Linked DNA regions of Schizosaccharomyces pombe. The protein of the gene in region 1 interacts with the protein of each later gene in a pairwise test. Each region holds a gene or a part of one and is shown on either strand. Other genes may lie near its edges.

Region 1 (5,514 bases):
AGAGGATCATTAACTATCGTAAAGGAGGAAGGCAGCTTAGAAATATTGTCATTAGCAGGCGGGGAAAACTGAGTTGATTGAGGTTGATGCGAATGTCCTGAACGATTGGAATTTGCTTTTCCCATTAGGGAGACCTCTTTGGGTTTCATAGGAGAAACACACACATCTTCTTCTGAATTCAATGAATTTGAAAAAGAATTGAAAGAAATTTCTTCTTCTGCAATAGAGGGCTGAAAACGAACATGATTTCCATTAGAAGAACTGCTATAAGAATTAGAAGATCTATGTCGTTTGAAAGATGAATAGGCAGGATCCTGGTGAGAGGATGGGTAAGAATAAGAAGAATAAAACCTAGGACGGCGGACACTTGGCTGAGGGGGAAGCATCTCTCGGCGTTTATACGATAATAATACAGGAAAAAAGACAAACCGGCATAGACCCCAAAAAAAACTTGCAAGGGTAAACTCTTTCTCTTCATTCAAAAAGTGGTACAAAAATACACGAGCGGAATGAACGAAAAACGTATAAATTCGTTTCAGGAACACACGAATCCAGTAGACGACAACACGCATAATGTTGGCATGCTTCGGTTTTTCATTCCTTGTAGGAACTTCCTTTTCCGTCGGTTTTGATGACAAACTGCTAAGGCTGGACGCCGAATAAGACGATCTACGACGATTATAATGCCTCAAAGTAGCTGATGAAGCTCGCCCCCGAGCATTAGCAAGTTTTTCTTTGTCAGCTTCATCGTCGTCTAAAGGAGTGGCAAGGATTGCTTTATTAATTTCATCTGATAGCCTAGCAATCGAATTCATTACAATTATTTTCTCTCTGCTGCGATTGCAAAGAATTAAAAAATTCACCAAAAGAAGCGATGCATACAAAGTATACAACGACCAAGCAGAGTCCTTTTAGTAAAAAAGAGTAATTAATTAAATATGTGTTAGTTAGACCTAAAATATGTGGGAAAACAAAGCCAGAATCACACGGTGGTACGATGCACAATATATATAATGATGAACTACAACCCAAATAATAACATTTTCATAAGACGTAATGCTTAAGAAGATATATCAAAACTACCTTAAAGTAACAAATTTAAATGTAAACAATACGGTGTAAATATTTATTAAGTTCGTAAAATGAAAGTTCATTGCAGAAGCTTTCATTTTTTTTAACTAATAAACTTTACTTGTATGGGTTTCTGTGCAAGAAAAATTAATTTTCATTTTATTAAAAGTCTAAATATTTGTAGAAGCTAGCTTAATTGCCATTCTTTTAATCAACGTTTTGCTAGAATGTAAGTCGCCGAGCGGTCTTTTTAGGTTTCTTGACATTACTTGAAAGATGCTTTTAAGTCTAAATATATTTAATGGTACGTTAAAATGTATCAAGCTCCTTTAGACGTTGCATACAATAAATTACTTACAAATAACAGGCTGAACTAACTTATTGACTTTACAAAATTATAAACATATCGATAAAATTGGTTAAGCGGACACTAAAGAGAATTCAAAACACTTGCTAATCTGAATATTGCACTCTTCCTCAGGTATCAGCACCTCCTTACGTATTTTTTATGAAAAGGGAAAACTGGGCTAATGCAACATTCGTAAACCAATTTATCTATTGCTAAATCATTCCAAAATCGTAAGCGTTTGCATTTCATTGTAAAGGAGATTGTTTTGTTGCTGTGTTAATCTACATGTAATTGATAGCAGCTTAGAGACTTCGGAGAAGAACTCCTCTCCTACTTGAACACTGTCTTATGACTAATTTAAGTATTACTTTTAAACTTCATCTTTTTCTAGTAAAGAGAAATTCTCAGTTAACATAAATCAATAAATTGTTCAATTGAAAGCATGTAGTCGGTAGGAGTTATATTTTATATAATTATATAATGGTTTAAAGATAGCACTTTAAATATATTATAGTATAACAATAAAGTCAAGTTCTTAACTATAGGTGAAATTACTCCAGCATTGCTTCCTTGAAACACTGATTACTTGCTTTGTCGCTAGGTTGCTCTTGTATTGTCGTTAGATGTGTTTTTGTAAACACAATTCAATCTAATTTTATTTTTCTAATTATCTTCATGTCAACATGGCCTATTGATGCAATTAGTAAAAAACCTAGTGTAAGTTTGGATTATGGAATTATAGGGGCGTGTCAACTTTTAAATCCATCTGGCTATCACAGAGCGGAGAAGGTTGAAAATAATGAATGGACTTTTGCTAGGTATGACTCCTATACGGGCGTCGAGCTTGTTGACTTGGACAAAAGATGGGATATCTTATCTTTAAATCCAAACTACAAACTCCCTAAATTAACTGAGCTTCCTGCTGAGGCCACCAATTCCACGCGTAAAGCGACTAGTAGTTCATTTGGTTTAAGTGTTTGCAGATATGTTCCGCGAAATTTATTTTCTACACTAGCGAAAGAGTCTCAATTAGCTTCTTCTGCTGAGTCTATATATAATCCACATATTTTAAATACTTTTTGCTTGGGTAAAACAGCGCCATCAGATAAAAACAGATACACCACAACTGAATGTCTTGCTTGTAGCAAGATTAGCAATGAAACTGCGGAAAATCTCCTCTTTTTATGCCTCTCGTCTCCATGGATTTTTCGTGCATCTCCGACATTACAAAATACTGCAACTTTTGAAGAATTCCCATTTTACTTGAATGTATCGGCTTTTGAGTTTGCTGAGGATCCAATATGGAAATTCTCACAACCAGTGAGACAATTGGTTTTCTCTAATGGAGAACCAAGTTTGCTCTTCGCATTATCGTCTTGTGAGTTGGTTATATTCCAGGTAACTTATGATTTAATGTTCTTAGATGAGCCAAATACACCTGGATGCTTGTCCGCTATACCTCTGCGTTTTTTGTACGCAGATGATGTTTATAATTCTGACTCGTTTGCTAACGTGTCTGTCCATCCCACCGATAATTCATTTTTTTTAACAACTTCATCATCTGGTAGATGGACCATCTGGCAATTCTTAGATGATGGGTACAGGGAATGCTTCGGTAGTTCTTTCAAAGAGTCTTTGCAACAAGCATTATGTTCTGCACCAACAAGTTCCATTGCTTATCACGAAGAAGAAATAAATCCCGATAATACAATATATAGAGCTAAATGGGAAGAGTATTTTGGCGGTGTCATTTTGCATAATGCTTTTTTTATTCTTCATGTGTCTCTTGGGGAGGTACCTGATTTCCATCTTTTATTCCACTGCAGTTCAGATGTTAGGATTCTACAAGTGGTAAATGAATCTATGCCTATTAAATCTGAGTTTTTCATTTTAACTACCGAGTCCGTCTTGTGGATGGATATTCAACATCCTCAGAAGCCGCTACTTGAATGGAAACATAATAGAAAATTAGATCCTACTTTGAAAATTACGGTTACCGCTACTTTTTCTCAAAACATCTATGTCTCTGTTTATTCTCAAATGAATGGTGTTGTCCAACAAATTCATTTTTCAAAAGACAGAGCTCTACCTGTATCAGGTAGTCATCCATTTCTATTATTAAATGAGGTTCAGGTTCCCATAAGATCCCTCATTATACAACCTTGTTATTTTTTTGAGTCATCTGAATTTGACAGACAAGGTCCTTTTGATTCACCTTTTTGGTCTGCAATAATTGATAAGGCTGACGGATCTCTTTCCTTACATATTCTTTGCGAAAAAAGTTCTCTTAAAATATATAATTTAGAGGAGCTTACTGGTTCTAGCCAAGTTGCTATGAAATTTAAAACTATCACCCCTTCTGTAAACACTAGTGAAGATGATTCGGCAAATGATCAAGAAATAATAAGCACTCCGAATTCCGATTTTCAACAATTATCACTGTCACGGTTATACCATGTTTTGTGCTCTAATAGGAACAAAAAGAATACTATCACCCTTGATGAATTCGCTAGCAAAGTTCCGGATTTTGTAGAAGCTTTTGATTCTATCAATCACGATGTTATAATAACTTTGAGTGAGTTATATGACGGATTTCCTTTGAAAGGAACCTTTACTAATGTAGCTGAGATCATAAGTCATTTAGAAGGTACAGAACTATCATTTTATTTTCCTTATATGTTTGGTATTAACTACAACAATGCTTCTTTCTTTTATACTTCCGTGGACTCAATTGCTAGTTTAATACACAGGCGCTGGGAATCTAATACTGATAAGTCTGTCGAAATTCCTTGCTTTCAGTCTTCTCAAAGAAGATCTATAAAAAATGTTATTCACTATTTATTTCTTTCTTCTATAGGAGTCTCCAGGGAAAAAATATTTGATCCATCATTGTCTCGAAAGGAAATCGATTCAACCGACTTGCTTACATTTATCAAACCTTTTTATGATACGGAAGGCCTGGAGCTGAATGAAGATGTTAGAAATATTTTGGAGAATTGGGAGATTGGAAAGATATCTTCAACTTATGTCATTGGTGATAGCGCTGTCGAAACGGAGGATCCATCATCTAGCCAATTTAGTGATTTCTACATTTCACAACAGCAGTCTTCTGTACTTCCCTCAAGCCAAATTGCGACAGTCTTTTCTCAAGAAGATGTTCCTAATTTTTCATCGCTATACTCGGAGAGTTCTAGCCAAACTATCCCAATAATGTCACAAGTCGTTAGTGGCAAATATGGTTCTCGTCCTTCCAAAAAGAAAAAGAAAAGAAGCGGATTTTAAATCCACCCGTATTTATTTATCTGTAAGTGATTTGTTTACAACTTGGGGAATAATTTGCTTGAGTTATTGATACTATACCAATGCTTGGACATAAGGTTGGTAGTAAATTATTTGCATATATTATGAAATTGCTAAAATTTAAAATTTTTTTTTCTATAATGTTTATAGAACTTTCAAATTTTATATCTTAGTTAGCCTTTGTAAGTCAATAAAAGTAAGTAATAATTAATTGTCTGCATGTCATGCTAATTTATGCTCTGACAAATTATTTTAACTAAGCCATTTTATGCCCTTATCCATTGCTGTATTCTATAGTTATAAAATTATTTTTGTGTCAGAGATTATCTTGCCGTAGACATGCTACTAAACGCATGTTGCAAAAAGAATTTGTGGCCAAGAAATGGTTCAACTATATTTAGAAGATTTGCTCTTAAACTTCGTCCTTATCAAGAAGAATGCCTCAGTGCCTGCTTAAACGCTTTTGATGAAGGTAAACGTCGAATTGCTGTTTCATTAGCTACAGGCTCTGGTAAAACGGTATTACTGTTCTACTACTGACTGCAATATTAACACGTCTAAAGGCATTGTTTCCCCACTTTATAAAATATGCACCTACTTTAAGGCCAAACTCTGAGCAATGTCTAATTTTGGTTCACAGAAAGGAGTTAGCTTTACAGGCCCTCAAGCATTGCCGAGAAAGCCTTCCGAATAAGGTACCGTTCTTTTTCCAAATAGATTCCACGCTGTTTCGTTTACTAACTTTGCCATAGTCTATTGAGATTGATATGGGCAATCAGTGTGCATCCGGACTG
Region 2 (5,660 bases), on another chromosome or scaffold:
AGCGACGCATCCATGCTCGTGTGAATTCAATAGGCTGCCTATTGTAACCTATAGTAAAAGGCGTTGAAGTTCGTTTTGGGTAATACGGATGCATAGTCGAGGAAAATTGGTCAGTAAAAAATGGCGCAAGATACTTATGTGAAATAATCATTATTTTTTCGTCGAAGGATGAGCCCAAAGCATCAATGTACTTTTTCTTTACATCTAATGCGCTCAAGAAATGGTCGGCAAAAAGTGGAAGTTGAAAAAAGGAGAGAACCAAGATACTCGCACAAAATGTCGTTAATGAATACGGCAAGGACTTTTGAGAAAGCAGATGAACTACAAATGTCAATGTATCGTAAAGTATTAATTGGTGTTCCAAGTACAATAAAGCAGAGTGTTCCACTTTGTTCCAACAATGATGCTTGGCGATAGCAAGTATGGCCTTTGTATATGTGATACGTTCTGAAGTAGAAATATTAGATTGTAAACGTCGAAGAATGGATACCCACCAGTTATACAAAGAATGCCTAAGTTTATCCAATTCCGGTTCGGAAACGTTTTTAGTGGTTAAAGAAGCCAAATGTGGTAATAAAAACCCTCTTATAAGAACTACCTTATCAGAATCCTGCTGATTAATAAAATTGATGAATTGCTCGGATAAAGGACACTTTATTGGAGAAACCAGTGGCTCCGAAAGACGTAAGGTAGATTGGACGGCCTTATTTATTAAGCTAGAAGGCGCTATCTCCTCCGCATTAAGGCGTAGGCTTTGAGAAGACAACTGAGAAAAAGGAGAGGTAGAACGAGAAGAGGAATCAGAAGATGATGATGAGGGTGATTCGTTGTAAGGCTCATTTAAGATTGTTGAGGAATGGCTTACTAAAGTGTTTTCATATTTACCATAATCATCTGTAATCGAAAATGGTTCAAAGTTCGAATCAAGGTCGTCAGCTACAAGCACATTGGTTGTATCGACGGGATCATGTTCCTGAATACATTTTACCACAACAGGATAGTTTTTTGTTTGGGAACCCGAATGCTCTTCCTCTTTAAAGGAGGCTGTATTGGGAGGACCCATAATAGCGGCAAGGATCTCATATCGTGATTGAAAGTCACCCATTCAGAATTTCAGAAATGAAGCTAAATGTAAAGAAAAGAATAAGTGTGAAATGCAAATAAAAAGAATATAATTAATCCCTAGATTAAAACCAAATTAATTAACATGAGCCGTGCAATCACCACTAATAAAGAAATGAAGATTTAAAGGACAAGCTATGCAAATGCCAGAAAAAAATGTACCAAATATGCTAAAAGATGCTCAAAAGTTTTTCCTACAGTAGAGAAATTTTGACTTTTTTAATTTTTTAAAAACTTTATCGATAAAAGACAGAGAAATCGGTAACCAAAAGATTCGCGGTTAAAAAAACAAGAAAAATACTTCCGAGTTTAGAATACTTGTATTCTAAAAGAATGAAAAGTAAACAAGTAGAAGATATCTTTAAATTAAATATATGAAATCCGCAATGTAAATTAGCATCCCCAACACTTTCGTTCACACCCAGTGTAGATGCTTGGTTAAGGCTGAGTTTCCGAACCCACCAGCTTGAGGGTATACGGCTACATATGACATATATTTCAGTAGACAAACATAATAAAACCAATAATTAAAATTGTTTTTTTAAGCTAAATGAAAAGACATTTGAAATTTTAAGCTGTATTGTCTTACAGCTTCAACTCAGTGTTCATACAATGCCAATCTCCTTTTGGTAGTTAGTACCCAACAATCGCCTAAACCAAATAGAACCCGCCAACTTACCAAACAAAACGGAATATAAGGACAGAGAATAACTATATGCAACGGATTATAAATAACTGATATTGAGTTTTCTTTTAGATCAAATATTTCAAGTTTAATGTTGGGGAATCGCGAATGATAAAGTTAAGCAATACAATAGGTCAGTATGCGTTTTCGATTGAATGATTCATTCTCCGGAAAGAGTTGGACCATAGATAATGTACAATGGACTCCCCAAAATCTTGTAGCTTGGATTATGGAGCTCAATATTGGACTTAGTGATGAAGCAAAACTATTATTGCCGAACGGAATGTCTTTGAATGAAACCGTACTAAATAGTGAAAGTGATGTGGTTATTTACGTACTAGATCAAAACTTGTTGACTTTCACCTACGATGGTGATAAAATTCCTTCTATTCCTTCTCTGAAAGGACAACCAATATCTAATGTACTTACTGGGATTATAGCTGATTCTTCTTCAGATCAATGGAAAGATAAAATCAGCAAGTGTCTTTCATTATTATCTGATATTTTAGAGTCTTCTTCAAAGATTCATAATCAATTAAGCGTATGCCATGATGAGTATTCTACTAGTATTGTTTCTCCAGAAGTTGCAATGAATTATTTACAAAGAAGACAATCTGGTATGAAAGATTTACTTTTCGTTTTCTACGAAAGACTAGATCGAGTATCTGTGTCTGATTTACTTCATGATTTCCTCGCTCTACCAACTGGTTCTTTACCCATTACTCCTCTTAAAATACTTTCAACAAATTGGACTAAATTGGACTCCTGGTTAAACTCCATTTCAGCTCGTTATGCTGAAGCTCAAAAACGAGTCCAACAGTGCATTGGCGCCGCAAATAGTATTATCGTTTCCCCATTCAAGGAAGTTCCTTCAATCAAGGAAGGAGATGATGCTTATTATCATCTACGTTCCGTCGCTCAGGATGCAGCCAATATATTGCAAGAGATCCTTAAAATAGAGTCAACTTCAACTACTTCTCAAATCAAACCAAAATGTAATTACGAAACCGAAATTACTGATTGCATGGAAAAACTTCAAAGTAATCTGTCGGAATTAAAAAGTTCTAGAAAGTCATCACTAATATCTTTGAAATCTTTTTGGCTTTCCTTTTATAAGGTTTCTCTTAGATATGATGCATTGTACGAATATCTTCGACAAATAGCAGAAGAGCTTGACAGAAGCAAATTCGTTCTTTCTCAGTCTCGAAACATTTTTTCGCTATATATCGACATTTTAATGGAGGCACTGAGGAGGACTGAATGGCAGGAATCATACAATGTAAGCCATGATAGTTCTCTTCCTTTAGACCAGGAGAAGGAGCTTTCTCTTAGGAAGTCTTGGCTCAGTCATTTCTCTAATTTGCTTTTTAATCATGGCCAGCTAAAGTACTTACCAGTTTTAACTCGTGACGAAATTTCTAATTATTTACTCAATATTCAAGCACATCCGAATTACCAAACTTTTCATCAAATGCTAAGCAATCGGCTCTCAGAATATTTGGGCTTTCCTGGAAGTCCTCGAGAAGCCGTTTCCAATACGGTTCAAGCGAACAATTCATTACATGAAAAATTGGCAATGTATCAAAATCGTTGCAATAATTTAGAGGCAATGTTAAGCCATCAAAACGGCTTTAATTATAACATTAACAATGATGGTTTATCTCCAAATGCTCCACATCCACCCATCAATGAGCAGTCTAATTCTTCTCAGCCATTTTACCGTGTTTCCCCTAGTATTGTGCCTCTAAACGTAATTCGTAAATTAACTAATCGCAAAACTTCTTTTACCGACAGCCACATATTACGACTTCAAGATGAGGTTAATCAATTACGCAACGAATTAGATTTGGTAAATAAAAGAAATGAGGACTTATTAATTGAGCTTCAAGGGAAGGAAGAAAAGATCCAATACCTCGAAACTGAAAATGAGGAAGTGCTACAAAAATACGAAAATTTACAGGAGGAACTTTCATCAACACGGAAACTGCTTACGAAAAATGAAGCGGCAGTTGCAGAACAGCAATCAAACGAGGAGATGCATTCTAATGAACCGAACATATTAAACCTTTACTCCGTATTTGAGGGCAAAGTTGATAGCTTGCAAGAACTTTATAATGCTTTCAAGCTTCAACTCACGAGTTTGAAGCAAAAGGGCGAATACGCTACTCTTGCAAAAGATGCCGAAGCAGTACAACATATTATTGAAGAGAGAGATTATGCTCTTGCAGAGAAAGCTGATTTACTCAAACTTTCCGAGAATCGAAAAGAACAATGTAAGATATTAACTCAGAAACTTTATACCATTGTATTCCGGTGTAATGAGTTACAGTCTGTTCTTCGGGAATGCGTTACTCAGCCTGGATTTGATTCAGATAACGAAAGAGATGGCCATGCATCGATTCCAGATCGCCAAATTGAATTTAATTCCAAAGATTTACAGTATCTTTATTGGATGGATGGGGAGGATGCTGATAGGAATTTCCAGGAATTTTTGAACAGAATGAGTTCTTTAGATTTTGACTCTTTCCATAACTTTGTTGTCAGTGTTTTGACTCAAGCACATAATCATGAACTTCGTTGGAAACGTGAATTTCAATCTAACAGGGACAAGGCGCTGAAAGCTATTTTGGACTCTCAAAGTAAAGTCTCATTAAGGAATTTCAAACAAGGATCCTTGGTCTTGTTTTTGCCTACTCGACGTACCGCCGGTAACAAAAAGGTGTGGGCGGCTTTTAATGTTAACGCTCCTCATTATTATTTGAACACTCAACCGCATTTGAAACTTGAAAGCCGCGACTGGATGTTAGGAAGGGTAACTTCCATTGAAGATCGTACTGCTGATGATTCGACGGATAAATGGCTTCGCCTGCCTTCAGGTACAATATGGCATTTAGTGGAAGCTATCGATGAAAGATTTTAAATCATTATGTGACCTAGCTTATACCTTCACTTGCTTTTTCTTTGCTTGTATTTGTGGGACTGATTCTATATGACAGACATTTGGTATTATCATACTTCTATTTTTTCAGGTTTTGATCTGTTATGGCATTATTTACTGAAATTTGTTTTTTGGTCTCGCCTAGTAAGGTATCCGACGTAAATTAACGACTACTATTGCTGTAGCGTGTCTCTCGTCTTGTAACATGATAAATTTTTAATGAACTTTTAATCTATTCGTATATTATTTAATATGTAGAACGCAATCGCTCGCAATAAAAGTGATTTGCAAATATTATTTATCACACCGAACAACGCACTGGTGGTAAGGAGTACCTTATGTAAATTGCTTTGTGTAGTGTGTCCCATCAAAGTACAACCTGGAATTATGATTCCCTCAAAAAATATCCAAAAGATCAAGTTGGTTACGTTCGATGCTTTTGGAACAATCCTTCATTTAAGTAAACCTGTTCCAATTGTGTACAGCGAAGTCGCTCAGAAGTATGGAGTTCATGCAACTATTGATGAAATTGAACACAATAGTAATAAAGGTTAGCTTTTGGTTTCTATTTATCTAATAATTTAGCATTCAAGGATTTCAGTGAAAAGCATAAGAATCATGGAAAAAAGTCAGGATTAAATCCTCATGACTGGTGGATCAAAGTATGTGTCTGAATTTCATTGAGATTTGTGTTTTGTAAAGAATTGAATCTCTTGATTTCTAAAAAACCTTTACATGCTAACAATTTTAGGTTATCGAACATTCTTTTCCAACTCCTGTTCCTGCAGAAATGGCTGAAGAGCTATGGAGTTACTTTTCCAAAAAGACGGGTTACACGATTCATCCTCTTCTGATTGATTTCCTTAAGAGAAATAAAGAAGAGAGGAAATACATTATTGGTATTATTTCAAACAC

What was found.
Region 2: the proteins of rrn6 (region 1) and atg11 interact in a two-hybrid assay, tested with the Schizosaccharomyces pombe proteins (2 studies listed by BioGRID).

What each region holds. Positions count from the first base shown.
Region 1 is NC_003423.3:3,368,766-3,374,279, reverse strand, and holds rrn6 (RNA polymerase I transcription factor subunit Rrn6), read left to right. Parts: upstream 1-1,992; 5' UTR 1,993-2,095; coding exon 2,096-4,702; 3' UTR 4,703-4,983; downstream 4,984-5,514. Other genes in the region: Nem1-Spo7 phosphatase complex catalytic subunit Nem1, read right to left, coding at 1-815; ATP-dependent DNA helicase Irc3, read left to right, coding at 5,060-5,239, 5,284-5,415, 5,473-5,514.
Region 2 is NC_003424.3:2,629,656-2,635,315, reverse strand, and holds atg11 (autophagy associated protein kinase regulator Atg11), read left to right. Parts: upstream 1-1,764; 5' UTR 1,765-1,946; coding exon 1,947-4,727; 3' UTR 4,728-4,868; downstream 4,869-5,660. Other genes in the region: protein ahk1, read right to left, coding at 1-1,105; SPOM_SPAC7D4.05 (hydrolase), read left to right, coding at 5,133-5,295, 5,331-5,407, 5,497-5,660. UniProt on the Schizosaccharomyces pombe protein: Involved in cytoplasm to vacuole transport (Cvt), pexophagy, mitophagy and nucleophagy. Recruits mitochondria for their selective degradation via autophagy (mitophagy) during starvation.